3 linked regions of the Danio rerio genome follow. The protein of the gene in region 3 interacts with the protein of the main gene of each other region in a pairwise test. Links are inferred from orthologs where the notes say so. Each region holds a gene or a part of one and is shown on either strand. Other genes may lie near its edges.

Region 1 (6,114 bases), on a different chromosome or scaffold from region 3:
TTCAGATGATACAAGGTAAAAGAGGCCAGGAATAAGATTAAGTTTGATAGAGTATTTTTTCAGAGACAGTTCTTTTTAAGGACGGCATGGTGGCTCTGTGGTTAGCACTGTCACCTTACAGCAAAAAGCTCACTGGACTTTTTGAGTACCGGCTGGACCAGTTGGCATTTCTGTGTGGAGTTTGCATGTTCTTTCTGTGTTGGCGTAGGTTTCCTTTGGGTGCTCTTGTTTCCCCCAAAGACATGCGCTATAGGTGAATTGGGTTAACAAAACTGGCCTTAGTGTATGAGTGTGTGTGAATGTGAGAATGTATGGGTGTTTCACAGGACTGGGTTGCGGCTGGAATGAATGGCTGTGTAAAACATATACTGGAATAGTTGGCGGTTCATTCTGCTGTGGCGACCTCTGATAATCAGAGACTAAGCTAAAGAAAAATGAATGAATGATTTCTTTTTAATGAAAAAAACATTAAAGATTTTTTAAATAGAAATTTAAAACGTTTTATTTTTATTATGTTATGATTATGTTATGCTATTATTTATTAAAGGTGATAAGAAGATGAAATTTTCAAAATTCTCAAAAAAAATTTTGGTTATGTTTATGCTGTAACACTTTGTTATAAACAGTCTGCATGTATTTATGTGCCTTAATAGCTAGCTATCTAAACTTCACCCACCAGGTTTTGTAAATAGACAGCAAACCATGCCCAGATGAAGATGCTCACAATATCCCATTTTCAGAAGAGGCAACAGCGAAAATGATCAGTATTAAATGTAAAAGTAATGTCCCAGGAAGAGAAAAAAATGTGTGCAAAACATTTTTCTTTGCTGGACTGCCTTATGACCTCAGTCAATTTGAAGCTGAACTCTTAAATGTAAAGGATGCAGCTATACCTATAGGCAGGGCTTGACATTAACTTTTTTGATCAGCAGCCACTGTGGCTAGTAGATTTCCAACATTACTAGCCACTTGTCAGTTTCACTAGCCACACTTTTGTTGTTGGGAAATTATATTTTTATATGCATAAATTTGACTATGACATGTTAAAATTACTTGATTTAGATGTTGTTTCAACACCGATAAATCCGTTTGGATGAGACCACTACAAGTTCACAATGCGGGCTCTCTGCGTTGTCTGCTGAAGCGAGTCGGCATTGTGAAGCCCACTAGTGAAGCCCGGCGTTGTGAAGATGTCCACATGCCTCCTCATTCTTTTCACTTTTTGTGTGTGTGATGAGCTTGTAGTAGGTCATTCTGGGTACTCCTTACATACTGTTTTTTGAATGCTATGAATTCGGACATACTATTCGGCTCTTATCCTGTTTAAAGCATACTATATAATATGGAAGTATGCGATTTCAGATGCAGCTAGACTTTTCATTGAGACCCTGATGTATAATATCATCTTGTCTATATTGGGCATCCAATTGAAGAGTACTAGAAATAAGCAATAACTTTAAAATAGTCTTACTCATTCTCATAAAGGAAGTGTCAAGTAAATGAAATGATTTGACTTTATTTTACTCTAATAGCCTTATATAGTTTTATTATACAGAATGGTTAAAAGACATAAATCTGCTGTGTGTGGGAAACCATATATGCTGCCTGTGTATTGAGCTTGTTTTCTGTCTTTTCTCTGTATGTAATGTCAGTTGTTACTGGAGGTCCTCTCCCCAGTGACCATGAGTATGAGCTGAGCGAGGTGCGCTTTCACTGGGGCAAAGAAAACCAGAGAGGATCTGAACACACTGTCAACTTCAAGGCTTTTCCAATGGAGGTCAGTGTCACTCCGCTATTTCTGTCACCTCATCAGTCACTTATCCATCCTGATCTCTAAAACAATCTAGTTTCACACTACACACCAAAGCACATATTCATTTAGAGAGCCCTATTTACACGCCACCAATTTTCACACTGCATAAGCAAACAGCATGCTGAAAATGTGCTGCAAAACTTGAAACAATTGTATATCCTTGATACAATGAGCCTCGTTTCCTGATTTGCATGTTACCACAAAATTGGACTGCATGTCTGCTACTGCATGTCTGATTTTTAGCTACAAATGCACTTCAATCCTTGTCAAAAACAGTAACAGCACACACTCTGATATGGGATTTGCCATCAAGCGATCTATTCCCATCACCTGCCCCTGGCACCTGCTCTCCTAATCCTGATCTTCTGTACACAATGAAAAAGATAAGAGCCCGTTTTCAATGTGTTACCATGTTTGTCAACCAGTTACCATGTCACGTTTCCTTAAGCTGTTGGCACAACTTCGAGTCAAACCAGTCCTTTAGCAGGATGTAGATAATCAATACCTTCATAATTTTGCATATGTTAATTTCAGAGTTCAGTTTCAGTGCAAATCTCTCAATGAGTAATCAATATCTTTCACAGCTTCATCTAATACACTGGAACTCTACATTATTCAACAGCGTGGAGGAGGCCATGGGCAAGAAAAGAGGCATTCTCATCATCGCCCTGTTTGTGCAGGTATCACACTGAATGGCCTGAGCAGATATGTAAAAAAACAAGCTATAAAAAAACTGTTAATCATGGTCTAAATATAAAAAGATGAAATGGTCACTGGTGATTTGTATTGGTGTGTTCAAGTCATGTCCGGTTGTATTTTTATGAGTTGTAATTACAAGAAGGAAGTGAGATTTGCTTTAAGCCCCAGGTCTCAGAACTGAGGCATGTTGTAAGGAACCATGTTGAATGACATGGAAATGTAGAAGTTCAAACAATGAGTATGTTTACATGGACACTAATAATTAGATTTTAATATGATTAAGATATACTCTTATTAAGAGTCTAGCATGTAAACGGTGCTCTTTGATTACCAGATTTTTGAAACTTTATTGTATTTGTTCTGATTTTCAAATTAGTGTTTGTTTTCTGACCTGTGAGTGTCTGACCAAAATTGTAAGTCATAGAGACATCAAAAATGGCCGGATGGTCCTAAATGTCCCTCAATACTCAGGTGTACATACACACCAAATTTAGCATGTGCCAAAGGAATGCATGGCAAAATTAGAATTTAATTTCATCTAATGGTTTGGAACATAGAGCTTAAATTAGATTCCTAGTCTGTTTCTCAATTCCAAGAACGCAGAGAACGAACTTGCATTTGTTACATAACCAGCAATCTGTTCCTGAAAGATTGCTGGCATACTACACATGACATTCATGAACTACATATTCCAGCATGCCTTTGCACAAACCAGTCACCATTAATCACACACAGCTGAATATCGTCATCATCAATTTGTTTGGACTATTTATACACATTGCACACACCAGTCAATGTGGAATCTTTGTTTGTCAGTACCTGTATGGTTTCAGTGAGTGTCGTCCTGTTTAGTTTGTCTAGTTATGTTTTGATGATTGTTTCGTAACTTTTTGTACTTTGATCATCGCTTTGTTTTTGCATTTTTCGATGCCCTTCATGATACCTGAGTTCTTGTTTTTTGACCTAATTTGTTTTTGCCTGCACGAATAATCTTTTTTCATTAAAAATTGCATTTGGATCCAACGAAGCGTTCTTGTGGAGACCGGTCTTGCCAGGTGTCCTCGGAAGAATGAACTCAGGAGACCGCGAGGACAGAGAATGCGTCCTTTGGGAAATGGGATGCTGCGTTCTTCCTGATGGTCACGTGACCTTCACGCATTTTAAATGGAAATCATTTAAACATTACAGCACTCATACAACGATTTATTGTTTTCCCTTTTCTTCAAAATATATACTTTGCATAAAAACATTATAAATATACTCTGCACAATATAAATAAAAAAATTTTTTGAAACGAATTTCAGCAAACAAACACCCTTAATGTGTTTATTCCTTTTTTAAGATATTCACGTTAATGTTTATTTTCACAGTTTCATTTAGGAAAACTCCTGAGGTAAATAAGTGATATCTCTGAACTTTAATAATAAATCTAAATTAAATGCTGCGCTTCATACCTCCATTCGCAATGACTTCTGGGACTTCCAGAGAGAGTTCGGTGCTCAAGTCTGCATCAGAGCGTCCTCGAAATCATGATCACATCCGGGAAGTTTCACGCGTCCTCCGTACTTGCGGTCTTGAGTATTGGAACTAAACTTAGGCAGCTGATGATGACGTTGCACGAGGACACAAGACCGCTGAAGAACGCATCGTTGTATGAAATCGTTGTATGAAGGCTGTAATGTTTAAATAATTTACCATTTAAAACACGTGAAGGTCATGTGACCATCAGGAAGAACGCAGCATTTCAATTTTCAAAGGACGCGTTCTCTTCCCTCACGGTCTCCTGAGTTCGTTCTTCCGAGGACACCTGGCAAGACCGGTCTCCACAAGAACACAAGTCCGTTCTCTGCGTTCTTGGAATTGAGAAACAGCCTTGGTCCTGGAGGGTCTGCGTCCGGCAGATTTTAGCTCCAACTTGTCTCAAAACATCTGCAAGGATGTTTCTAGAAGCCTAGTAAAGCAGCGGTCACACTGCACTTTTCTCCCCATAGACTTCCATTCATACGCACATAAATGCGTCAGAGCGGAACGGAACACAAGCTTGTGCGACAAGTTTCGCAGTTCGCTGCATTTGAAAGTTCAAGCTTGGTGAACTCGGACCTGCGAAATCTCATCACATGATTGGGTGAGACCAATCCAAGATCAAAACATGACCTCTCTGGACAGGAATTTAAAACATGGACCAATCGCTAGCTTTTTTTTTTTTTTAAATGTCTACTCATCTAATCCTGCCCCTTTTCACAGTGCTGTACTGTGAAGCTGCGGTCACATTAGAGTTTGAGCATGCGATATTCTGACGTGCGGCACTGCGGAAAGGGGCGGGATTAAACAAGAATATTAGACATTTAAAAAAGCGAGTGATTGCTCCAAACAAAGACAGGCACAAAATGCACATTTTCAAAGCCGAATTTCTGACTTTAGCATTGTTTTTCAGATAAGCTAGAACGTTCACTTAGCATGTTTGTCAAATATCTGCAAACATATTATTTTTATGCTTTAGAAAAGTCAAAAACTTAACAAAACACACTTTGCACACTGTTATGAATCATTCTGTTGATGGGAAGTAAAAATCCTGTTTAATGTTTGAATTTATGGAAACAAATACTGTTTCTAGGAGAAACTGAACTGACCATATGTCCTGCTCAGCTGACACGGCTGCTCTAATTTACCCTTTTCAGGTTGGGAAGGAACATCTTGGTCTGAAGGCCATCACAGACGTCCTGCAGGACCTGCAGTATAAGGCAAGCAGAAGAGCAGCTTTAGTAAACACAACACATCCCCTTGTGACCTAAAATGTTTCTTTTGTTTGTACAGGGGAAGACTAAAATAATTCCATGTTTTAATCCCAACACATTACTCCCTGGTAAATGATTTCTTCATTAATAATCCATGATAGTGGTATTAGCATCTTTTTGCATGTTTTTGTTCTTGATGTTTTCTGACTAGTTAAAGTTTATCAGTTTGTATCTGACTGCCTCTGTTGCTATGTTTACACACTCAGATCCTCTATTAAGAGATTACTGGGTGTATGAGGGCTCTTTAACCACCCCGCCCTGTAGTGAGAACGTCACCTGGATTCTGTACCGTTACCCTTTGACCATCTCTCAGATGCAGGTGATGCCTATACAAATATTATTGGGTTGTTGACTTGACTTTGCATTTTCACTGTCACACTTGAAAAAAATGAATGTAATTAGTACTGCGATCATTTTCTTGCATGAAAACTTGAAAATTTGTACATTTTTGAGCCAAATCTTTGGCATTCCACTGAAAATATTGTTTGTTTAGTTGTAGGACCTCATTTAAGATCATGTGACCTCCTTTGAAGCCCATGACATGCACATGTTAAGTGTTTGTCTCAGAATTTCTCACATATTTAACTTTTTGGAACCATTATAAAATTGTTTAAAAAGTTAAATGTTTTGTTGTCCTTTGGTGTGACTCCCCTTTTATTAAAACAAATCTAACAAATTCATCATGTTACTGAGAAAAATATTATTGCTAATTTCATGTAAAACAAATAGCACTATATGAAGATATAAGTGTCCAACAGTAAAGATAAGTCACGCTCATGATATTTGTACATTATAAAGAGTTGTTTT
Region 2 (6,114 bases), on a different chromosome or scaffold from region 3:
CTCACATGAGCCTTCAGTCGAGCTGAAGCGTTCGCAGAGACCGCAGGCGTCAGCAACTCAAGCGCCTGTGGAAAAAGGGTGTTCATTTGTTGACCTCATTCTACAATGCGGAAATGCACTTGTTTTTTTTTACTTGATTTGATTTTTTCGATTGTTTCAAAACTTCTGAATCAATTGCCTATGGGAGAAATAACTAGGAATGATAAAGAGCAGAAAATGGTGTTCAGGAATATTGTTAACCTTTCCTGCTCTGTTCCCTTGCTGTGTTAGAGACATAGATATATACATTAGATGTCACCTAGCTGGTTGTTGTCTATTGGAAGGAATGCGTCAATAGAGCCGCCATTTTAGTACAGGGTAGAGCTCCTTTGAAATGAATGCGGGACCAAGCTGCAGTGAAGGACTGTGCTGTGCCCATCCAAAGCCAGAGATATACACATATACACATGTATCTATGATCTGGATCATATATCTATGATCCCGGAGGTCAGTATACAATTTTTTTTTTTAATTACGAAAATATTATAATTTTACATTTTCTACATTGATGGATCAGTGACTGCACGGGCATTCCTGACAAAAAGCGTGTGTTTGTGTGTTCGGAAATGTACTATCCACCCTCCCTGTTAAATTTGATCTAATCATGTCCTGAAACACAGCTCCTCTCCTGCTTTCACTTTTCATACTGACGGAGGGAGCGATTTGCTTGTGAATGAATCTCCGTTATGAACTACTTCTTCACTTAGCTGACAATAATACAAGTTTCTGGCAGCGCAGCATCTCGTTGTCATATTTCTTTTGCATTGTTTGCTGATTTTATTCAACAAAACTAGCATAAGACGAGTGTTTAATGTGAGTTGCTTCTGCTTTGCCTTATGGTGAATGCAGTAGTGACTGTATTATCATCAACAACGTTACCTGATTAGCACAAAAGTTCAGAACATACAAAAACGTAAAAAACTTAATCTTACCTATGAAATGTTCTGCCTTTGTGCTTTGTTTTGTTTGTTTGCTCGTTACTACACCCGTAGACAGCACTAAAGCCCAGCATCTTCACATAGTATACTGGCTCGACTAGTGCGGTTGAATGACATTTGTCCTGGGAGCACTGTACAAATGTGGCGGCGCTATTGACGCATGCTCAGGGTCTTTTTGCAATATCTAGTGTATATATCTATGTGTTTGAGATAGCTGGGGGAAATTCATTTATTACTCCAGGGTCGAAAAATATTAGTTTTGGGGTTAACTCCCTTACATATAACATGGTCCAATTATTGATTACTATCCATGTGGTACAACAAAATCAGTCACTCAAGAGCGAACATCAGTAAAAGCAGTCTCATTGCGAAAAACTGCTCCTCTTTTCTGTCTCTCCCTATCCGTTTACACACACTAAACTGCAGCTCCGCCCCTTAAAGGACCCGCACATTTTACACTACATAAAAAAGGAGAATAACATGATAAGAAAATGTCAGCTTGTAGCATCAAGCAGGATAACAAGTAGTTTTTAACATCTAAAAATCAATGTAAGTGAATGAGACTGGAAGTTTTGAGCTAAAAAGATTGCAATGGTTGGGCCCGCTCGTAAGTGTAACGGAGGCCAGCTATCCTCACTCTAGCTAAGCCTCACTCCTCTGACCTCTAAAGGTGCTCTGTTGACAGACGCTAGAGGCCACGGTCTTTAGCCTTCTTGTTAGAGCACCCGACTCCCATGCGGAAGGATGCTGATTCGAACCCAGTTCGGGGCCGGTTGGGTGGTGTAGGACCGACAGGGTTACGTTGGTGCCGTGACCCGGATGGGAGTGAGGTTTAGGGGGGTGAGTTTAACAGAGGCCAGCCAGTAGGTGCTGTGCAGGTAAACCTCACTCCTCTGACCTCTAAAGGTGCTCTAGCGACAGACGCTAGGGACCATGGTCTTTAGCCTCCTTGTTAGAGCACTCAACTCCCATGAGGTCGCCACCTCGCCGGTTCGATCCTAGCTCGGGGCAGGTTGGGTGGTGTAGGACCGGCGGGGTTACATAAGCATAGAAAAAAGCTCAACACGGTAGATAAAAAAAGACCAGCCAATGTGGTATATGACTTTTAATTTTCAGCCAGCCAGTCGAAGTGCTTCCAGTAAACTATTGCACCATTACAAAATCCCCACGTATAAGATCTGATTTCTTTAAAAATCAATGATCTTTACTGCCTGATTGATATACGATATACAGTTATTGGACAAGAAGCACTGCATTAAGTTCTATTTTACCATGCCATGTCTTTAAAATATGCCAATTTATTTTACCCCAGTATTTTCAATGGAGTTTCTTTGCTCGTCTGCTGCTACTGATGGTGCTTGCGTCTTCTATCTCGCTTTACACTTGATCAACTAAATGAATGCTGAAGTCTATTTAATTGATTGTATTTAAATTACAATACAAATTGTATTTAAAGCAAACTCCTGAAATTGAAAATAGTCAAATGAAGCTTTCACTGGATGTTTATCACTGGCTGGAAAACACTAGCTGATATGCATATAGCACATTATCATGAAAACATAACGTATACCCAAAAGAACTGACCTGAGAGCTGTCCTCAATGGCCTTGTGGAGATTTCTCAGTTTGAGGTGACAAGCCGCTCGATTAGAAAATAAAGCCGGCATCTTCCTGTTGAGTTTTATGGCCAGATTATAAGCGTTGACAGCAGCCAGAAAGTTTCCTGCCATGAACAATTTACTGCAGGAAAAAAGACAAACCAGATGATGATGAGATTTAATGCAATCTTATAGTGATGGAAGCATATACACAAAATAAATTAAATAACAGTAAAACATTCACCCCCGGTTTCACAAACAAGATTTAAGGCTAGTCAAGGTTTAAAAGCTGTCTCAACTCAAAATAACTTGCAGTGAGATGTCTTAAAATACGTCAGTGTCATTTTTTTGTCTCCAGGTGCACACCAGTAATATATTTTCAAAGGCCATTTTATAAATGTGGCTTAAATAGCCTAATTTCTCTAAGGCCTAGTCCTGGCTTAATCTAAGCGCTGTTTGTGAAACTGGGCCTCAGTGTTTTGATACATGGCTAATATTTACTATACTTGTAGGAAAAAGTGCAAGTTCTACTTATTTAAAAATATAAAGAACTATATAAGTTACTATACTATATAAGACTATATTAATTATTTATTAATATGATAAGACTCTTATATATAAGATATATATGAATAAGATTATAATATTTAATTTCATACAACAGTTCTGTCTGGTTCTCGAATCTGATTGGCTGATAGCTGTGATATATTTAAGTAATATCAGCCCCTGTACAGCCTCTTTACCCTTTGTGTATTTCTCCACCCACATACAGCCAGCAAAAAGCAGACACTACAGATCTAAAGTTTAAAAGATGCACGCTCAACTGTTTAACTGTCAGCTTATGATTTGAATCCAAGGCGGAAGAAAGTAGTTCCTCATACAAAAGGGTTTTTGAGACTCTCCATGTTTGATTTTGTTTTTATATACACAATTATGCTGTCAAACTGTCGTATAAACGCAATATCACACTCGTAGCAGTGTGATATGGCTGTATATTGTGCCAACGCACGCCTCCCACCAGTGCCGATATACAGCCATATCGCACTGCTACTCGTGTGATATTGCTCATATATAATATCGACTTTGAAAAAATATTTTAATGTAAAAAAATATATATATACATTTTTTGCCCATTCACCACTTTTGCAATTGGTGAAGTTTGTTCCTCCACTGTCACCACTGGCTTGCTCAGATTGAGACTTGTAGAGCTGAGCATCGATGAATTACTCTTCAGTGTTTGGACTTTCAGCAGTAAATATTAAACCACACTGAACTGAACTAAACTAAGCTTCAACTCTGAAAACTGGACTGACTGTTTACATTTACTAGAACTTCTATATAAGCTGCTTTGACACAATCTACATTGTAAAAGTGCTACAGAAATAAAGATGAAATGAATTGAATTAATGTATAGGAAGAATTCAGATTAAAACCTTTAAGTGCCGTCTGAAATGTTCCTCTAAAATTAGCGTTTTTATGTTTATGTTCAGTTATTTCACTTTAAGGGCGATGAAAATTACTGAAACTACACACAACAGTGTAAAATGCTCATTTTAGATGAAAATCTCCGACGGCACTTTGAGGTTTTGGCATCTAAACTCTTTAGATTATAATTTTTTTTCAGCAAGGATGCATTAAGGAATATAAAACATTTCAAATAAATAGGTAATAACAGTATTTTATAACTCCATATATTCATCAAATATATGTATTAATATTCATTGGTTATATTTGAAAAATGTGTCTTGACAGTTAAATCTTCATATTATAATGAGTTCAGAAGGATCGTGTGACACTGAAGACTGGTGATATGATGCTGAAAATTCAGCATAGAATCACAGTAATAAATTACATTTCACACTATATTAAAGCAGTTATTGTTTTGAATGAAATATTATTGAAAGGTTTTGCATTTTTACTGTTTCAACCAAATAAATGCAGCTATGAAAAAAATTAAAAACAGACCTAAAGCTTTGATCAGCAACACACTGCAAAAAGTCAGACAAAAGAGAGAAAAACAGCATGAAGACACTGACTCTCCCTTGTCTTTCAGCCAGTCTGGGTTTCTCTCGTCCTCTGTCAGGTCGTCCAGTTCTGCCAGATCTGTGTCTATTGCTCTCCTGGCCTCCGCCTGCTTCTTCAACCACTGTTTAAGCATAGGCATAATGGTTTTTACATTGTACAATCTGTTTTCTATTGCTCCACCCCAACCTTACCCTCACAGAAAATTGTGTGCATTCTGACTTCATGAAAAAAATAATTCTGCATGATTTATAAGCCTTTTAAAAAAATGGGAATATGGGAGATGTCCTCATAAGACACCTTCTGCCTATAACCATGTCATTATTCAAGTTTGTGTCCTTATATTATGTCATAAACACATGCACAAACACAGACATACACTCACAGGCTGGGTGCAAATGACAGGGGGGGTTGGGGGGATTGACCCCCCTAATTAATTCCAATTATTGCTCTGATCTGTAACGTAAATAATAACATTAATAATTAAAATAGTAGATAATATAAATATGCATCTGTCCACCCCTATAATGGCGCATACCATTGTAAATGCATGATTGCGCCAGTCAGTCTATGAGAGAGAAAAGTCATTCAACAGTCTGAAAGCGGCAGATCTGGAGCATTGATACACATTTACTAGTAAAATAGGTGTTTGTATCTACACATAGCCTAAAAGTAAAATCGAATTAGCTGCACAGTTGGTATAGTTTGACCTACATTACCCACTGAAACAGCTAGTCGGAGGTAGGTCAGAATACGCTAAATATCCCACACTAAAAACCTAGATATGTTTTATTAATAAAATAATTGCCATTTAAACAAATATGCATACATGTGATAAGCTGAAGCATGTGTTATACAAACTAACATTATCGTTACCGAAAAAGTTGACCCCCCGATAGTCAATGTATAATTCGCACAGGTACACATAAACATACACTCATACGCACATAGGTACACACGTACACAGACAGACACACACACACACACACTAACAAGATGTTTGCAGTGGTCAGCATTACACATTTATCATCAGCACCCGGACCAGAATAATGTCTGTTTAATATAGATCTGACCTCCTCCTCCTCGGGGACGCGAGACTCTCTGAGCGCGGTGGGAAACACTCGTGGAGTGAAGCTGATCTGAATACAGCCAGCAGATCTGGGAGCCGGAAGATCCTTTGTTTTCTGTTTACTCCTCATCTGACCTAGCAGGAAAAAAACTCTTATTATGTACAATTAAAGTCAAAATCATTTACCCTCCTCTGAAGTTTTTTTTTGGGAAAAATATTTCCCAAATGATGAACAGATGCAGGAATTTTTCACAGTATCTCCTATAATATGATTTCTTCTGGAGAAAGTCTTGTTTTATTTTGGATAGAATAAAAGCAGTTTGTAATTAAACATTTAAGAACATTTTAATTAACATGTAATTAAAAACATTTAAGGTCAATATTATTAACCCCTTTACGCAACTTTTTAAAAATTGTTTACAGAACAAACCACCATTATACAATCACTTG
Region 3 (6,114 bases):
TCTTTTCCAATTTACTCAGTGCGATGTTCAGACCCAACTGTGTTAACCGCATCAGTTAAACTCTCCCACTCTATTTTTTTTCTTTTGTTGTTAATTCCGGAGAACAAACTTGCAAATAACACCGCCTTTCTCCGGTCTACCTCTGAAAGGAGCACCTCCAATTCACATTCTGTTCAAAGTTTCTCTTCTTGCTTGCTTGCTTTTGCTTTTATTTTTCGTTGGGTTTTGCCAAAGTAGAGTCATTTGCATATTCATTAGGGGTGTCACGATTTCGATTTTTAATCGAAATCGATCGAAATTTATGCTCAATTTCGATTATCGAATCAAAAAATAGAATCGTCGATGCTGCCACGCCCCCATGTCACGTCAGCTTGGCTTGCCAAGCGGGAAAAAAACAGGCTTGTTGAAGTGCTGAACTGCAGAAGCAGGAGACCCGTCGACAGAACTTAAACCCTCTCCTCTTTCAATGAAGTCGCCGGTGTGTAAGCATTTTGGATTTCCAGTGAGTTATGTTGACAACGTTCGTGTTGTCGACAAAAAAAAACACAGTTTTGCAAGCTCTGCTATGTACGTATTACGTACGGTTCGTCCGATAGACAACACCGGCATCGTGATCCTCCACCCTCCCCCGTTGCAAATCCGCTACACACTCAGGCCCTGTTTACACTGTCTTTGTTTTTAAATGGCATTTTAGAACGACAACGATTTGACATCCACAGTGGTGTGTAGCATTTCTGAGCAGCCCTCCTTCCTCTCTACCCCTGAAAATGCACATCACGTGACCACACAGACAGAGACGCACATACAGCCTTGCGTTCGAGACATCAGGTCCAGGCTGTCAGAGGACTGCTTCAATCTTTCCCTCACTCACTTGTACTTAGTCATTTTAGCGAACACCTCGGATACTGTTGGCTGGTTCCTGTTGGTTGTGCACCTTTTTTACCAACGCCATAATAACGACACAGATCACTGTCTATTCACAAGTCCCGCAAAAAAAGTGATTGACAGGTGGTAATTATGTGTGCTTCTTGCCTTTATTCATTTACTGTATGATTTGTTTATGGGTAAAACAAAGACCATGCATTTCAGGTAGTTTAAACGGTAGGCTACAAATAATGAATTGGTCATTAATTAATTAATTATTCATAATCGAATCGTGCCTTTAGAATCGAAAATGTAATCGAATCGTGGATTTGGAGGATCGTGACACCCTTAATATTCATACGGGGGAGGAGGCAGGGAGGGGTTTTGTGCTCGTGCATGTTGCGCTCAGTTTCACGTTCATTCAGATGTACAAAAGAATATGCGTGAGATTCGGCGTACGCAGTGTTTCATACGTCTGAATTTTTTTCTGCGTACGCACATTTACAGCTTTGTGCGTACGCAATGTTTTAGTATGATTTCCACGCAAGTCTTCATACATGAGGCCCCTGGAATATAAAACACATCATTTTAGAGTTTTCTGATGTTGTTTTTATTATTAAAAAGCTTAATGCTCATTGTTATAGTGCAATAAATGGCTAAACCTAGTGCTACAAACCAGCATGTTAATTATGTCAGGGATAATTTTAAATGCACATTTAAATGCACAAAGTACAAAACACAAAGAACCTTTAAAGGTTCAAGACAACCTGGAGTACTTTTTTGTGTTGATTTGTGTGTGTTAAGCATCATTAGCAGCTGTCAGCTTTAATTGTGGGAAAACTGGATATATTTGAGCTTGTCAGCTAATTTCATCTTCCGGGTTTAAAAAGATTTTTGGGGCGGGATCAAAATCAGTGACGTAGCGATATTCGGCTAGTGTAGTGATGACACGTCTGTTTTTTCATTATTATTCACAGCGGAGTTTTCTAATCCTATGATAAGACCCTGCTGCTTAATTATTTATAAGAGTACGCGTTTTCCGAAGGCAAGGCAGACCTGCCAAGCGGCGAGACTCTATGACTGGGGTCATAACCATTAACATCCATAGTATCGTATTTGTTGTCTACTAGTGTATGGAAGTCAATGGTTAAGAGTTTCTTTAAAATATCTTCATTTAGGCTCAGTAGAAAATAGAAACTCATAAAGGTTTGGAACCACTTAAGGGTGAGTAAATAGTGAATACATTTAAATTTTTGTGAACTATCCCTTTAACTAAAGTTTATGATATACAGTACAGCACCAAAACAAGCTGTTTTGTACAGTTTTAAAATAGGGCTGCACGTTATTGGAAAAATCTTTCAGTGCGATTATTTTGTTTTGTTGCGATATATGTATGAATATAAATATAATTTCACCAGGTGATTTGAATAGCTCTATTTGAAAATATTTCATTAAAGTAGATTGACTGGGTTGATCAAGTCTTTTTAATATAATAAATTATAAGCATTCAGCAGGTAAAATAAGTATTGAAAACGTCTAGGAATTCTAGGACCACGTATTGAATTTTTTTCTGGGAATAATATTTCTGAGAGAGAAAGAACTGAACTATAAAACATATTTAATACTTTATATAAAATAATTTTTGAGGGGGTAATGGCAGCTTAAAGACGCCTCTCATATGGGGAATGAAGTCACATGAATTGTTTCAACAGAATATAAAAATCTTGATAGTTCTGTGGATCTCGTCTATCAAATCTGATCTTTAATTTGTATTTTCTATTGGATTCAAGTCAGATAATTGGCTGGGCTATTCTACAGCTTGATTTTCTTTCTCTGAAAGCATTTGAGAGATTCCATGGCTGTGTTTTGGAGCATTGTCCTGCTGAAACATCCACCCTGGTTTCATCTTCATCATCCTGCTAATGTAGATGTTGGAATAAAGCAGCTAATATTAATTTACAATGACGAAGGGTAGAGGGTTGCTGAATGACTATTGAGAGATTTCAGCTGCTGTCTGGCCTTTCGCTACTTTTCTACACCTCCCTGTCTTCATGTGTTCAATACTTTTTTCCTGCGTCATTTGATTTTATTATGCAAAACGTAACTTGCACACTAATTAGAATTTTTTTTTTTTGCATATATGGATTTCTTTGGTTGTTACCAACATCCAGGCCAAATTTCAAGCCAACAGCACCTTTGAAATATGTTTTAGCAGAGAAAAATTGTGAAGTGTTAAACACTTATTTTCCCCACTGTATACAAATGAAGCAAAAATAAAAGTTAAATAACTAATCCTTAATAGTTTTTTGGAGAATCAAACAGTATTTAAACACAGAAATTAAGCAATCAAACATAAAATAATATAGTCATTATTGTATAAATATTTGTATACAATAATTAAAATTTATATAATAATATCTTTATCTTTTAATCCTTAATTAATAATCTAATATTACTATGGGACTATTGTGCATACACACATTGCGATATCGATGCTTAAACAATATATTGTTCAGCCGTAGTTTAAAATAACTCCAAAAGCCAGGCACCTTACATTTACAAATGGCCATGTGTGGTTTTAAATGAAAAAATAATGTGGATATGGTTAAATAAAAGCAGGACATCGCGTGGTCCAAAAAGAAAGAAGATACTATGGCATAATAGAACAACACCAGGATGAGTAAATGATGCCTACTCTAACTATCTCTTAAAGTGTACTCTAATATATTACATTACAGTGTATTATTTTTTAGGACTCTAACATTAATTACGTTCACAGTGATTTAGCAGTTTCTAATAAGCAATCTTCTTAATGTGCAGTCATTAAACCAAGAAGTCATGAGATTAAACATCAAAGCAAGTTCCTTCGAGCTACAGGATTCCTGAGAGGAAGTGGTAGAGCAGGAAGTGATGGGCGAGGAGTGAGTGTTCTCATAAAACCCAGGAAGAGGAAGATGACAAGCACTGTAAAGTTGACACAGCGCAGCAGAAGGGAGAAGGGTTGGCATGCAGAGGCTGGCACTGACCTGGGTGCATCAGGAATGCATACTGGAGGATCCTCACAAATGCGGACAGACTTGCTCTCCCGAGACAGGACAGGGTTGGGTTCGGTGGGTTGTTCAGACTGCAATGGGATCACAACTGGCTTCTCGACAGGATGACTGGGGGTTTTTTCTTCTGCTTTTTCATTCGAGTTCTTGCTTGGCTCGGTATCCTGGGTTGTGGTTTCGTCTTTTACAGATGCAGAGTTTTCTTCTGGAACAGGAAACTTCTCCCGACGGCGTTTCTGTACTTGTGCTTTGTTCACCTCTGAAAACAAACAACATAACATTTATGACCAGCATATGATAACAGAGGGAAGTTGCAAGTTACCAATGCATTGATGATATGAACAGTTGGATGTGCCAAAACGCTCTTCAGTTAAACAAAGAGAAAACTGAAGTCAGTGCGTTTGGGAACAGAGATGAGGTTCTCAAGGTAAATGCGTAGCTTGGCTCCATAGGTCAAAAAACAAAAAAAATTCAATCTAGGTGTGATTCTGGAGTCAGATCTGAGTTTCAGTGGTCATATGTCAAATAAGTAAATCAGCATACTAACCTCTCAAAAACATTGTAAGAATTAGAGGCTTTGTTTCCAGTGATGAGTTTCAGAAACTTGTTCATGCTCTTAACCACCAGCAGAGTGGATTACTGTAATGGACTGCTCATTGACCTTCTCAAAACACACTTTTATGTCTTCTTTTGTTTTTCATTCCTTTAAAACTTGTTTTAACACATTTTATGTGTTATTTTATATATGTTTTTATTCATTGTTGTCTTTATTTTCTTGTTACTTTTACTCTTGTTTATGTCAAGCACCTTGAATTACCATTGTATATGAAATGTGCTCTATAAAAAAACCTGCCATGCAAATGTATTCGCTCACTTTTTAATTGTTTGTGGTTTAAGAAGTATTTTTATAGGCATTTCTATAAAACTGTTTATAATGTCATGTCATAAACAAAATCAGCTATGAATTTAATCCCAATGTTGCAAAGTTTAAATTGAAGCAAAAAGTATTTAAAATCTACTATTAATTTTATAGTTCATATTTCCATTCGGGATAAATAAGGTCTTAACTAACTAACCGTTACCTAACTTAACTAAAGTTGTCTTGCATTTAACAGCCTTATATCATTCATTTTAAGTTGCAGTTGTTCTTAGCATCTATGAAAACAACATATTTCAAGCATATGTATGCATTTATAGAAATATGTAAGTATTTTGAGATTGGTGAGATCTGCTGTGTTCACTGGGGCAAAAAATAAGGAACAATTAATTTATTTTTGGCACATTTTGCTTACGATGAGTTTATGTTTGGTGGACTTTTCTGTACAGCGTTGTGAATAGTGTTTTTGTCTGCACTAACTTTGCGGTTAAGCAGAATTGTTTTAAAACCATTGTATTAAAAAGAACTGAGTTCAGTTAAAGCTCACAACAGGGGTGTCTTTACCCTTAGAGCTGTTCAATCACACCTGTGTGATTAGAATATTCAGTTCATTTTATGATCAGCTCTGCTGAATTCAAATCAGTTTTTCTGCCATGGCAATAATATTATTATTTTGCACCATCATCTGACAGATTGCTTTCTTCATATCAGATATACACTTTTTAGGAAGCTAGAATATTTACTCTATTGTTTTCCTAATTAAGCAGACGCTTTCATTAACTTCAGGACAAGTTGTTGAATTTATATGTTGTAAATTAGTCAGCTTTAGTTTCTCCACTGCAGTACACATTATAGATCAGCTAATATGATCTATAGAATGCAAATATGTGTTCTCATGTGAATTGTGTTCTTCTTACACACATTTGAGAATCGGAATATCAGATATACTGAACCCTATTGACCTTTTTCTTCAATGTGGAGTCATTTTATGATTGTTTTACAGCTTCCAGTTCAGTTTCCTAAGGGAGTAATGACTAGAAATAATGAACGGTCAAACTATTTGCTCTACAAAAAAGTGTGTTCATTATTATATAGATAAAGTAGAATAATATAACATGAAAATATCGGTTTACAACATCAAGCAGCATAATGAGCGTTTTTTAACATCTAAAATTAATAGAAGTGAATGAGAACGGAAGTCTAAAGGCAGAAGATTCAAACGGCTGCACTCGCTCATACACAAAGAATAAGGTCAATAAAGCCGCTCGCATCATATCATCTGATACATGAGTTTCTAAGACCAATATCACATCAATATAAGCA

Evidence for each region. The genes of interacting proteins can lie anywhere in the genome.
Region 1: the proteins of spdl1 (region 3) and ca8 interact in binary tests that used the Homo sapiens proteins (3 or more experiments, as listed by UniProt). The two-hybrid records come from large-scale screens. The link is inferred for Danio rerio from reciprocal best matches to the Homo sapiens genes SPDL1 and CA8.
Region 2: the proteins of spdl1 (region 3) and dnaaf4 interact in binary tests that used the Homo sapiens proteins (3 or more experiments, as listed by UniProt). The two-hybrid records come from large-scale screens. The link is inferred for Danio rerio from reciprocal best matches to the Homo sapiens genes SPDL1 and DNAAF4.

The regions. Positions count from the first base shown.
Region 1 is NC_133177.1:25,089,637-25,095,750, forward strand, and holds part of ca8 (carbonic anhydrase-related protein), read left to right. Parts: intron 1-1,652; coding exon 1,653-1,777; intron 1,778-2,397; coding exon 2,398-2,493; intron 2,494-5,190; coding exon 5,191-5,253; intron 5,254-5,326; coding exon 5,327-5,375; intron 5,376-5,513; coding exon 5,514-5,626; intron 5,627-6,114. UniProt on the Homo sapiens protein: Does not have a carbonic anhydrase catalytic activity.
Region 2 is NC_133193.1:3,049,517-3,055,630, reverse strand, and holds part of dnaaf4 (dynein axonemal assembly factor 4), read right to left. Parts: intron 5,800-6,114; coding exon 5,669-5,799; intron 4,720-5,668; coding exon 4,610-4,719; exon of another isoform or gene 4,539-4,609; intron 2,716-4,538; coding exon 2,562-2,715; exon of another isoform or gene 1,214-2,561; intron 1,020-1,213; exon of another isoform or gene 66-1,019; coding exon 1-65.
Region 3 is NC_133189.1:43,412,896-43,419,009, forward strand, and holds part of spdl1 (protein Spindly), read right to left. Parts: intron 4,174-6,114; coding exon 3,891-4,173; intron 1-3,890. UniProt on the Homo sapiens protein: Required for the localization of dynein and dynactin to the mitotic kintochore.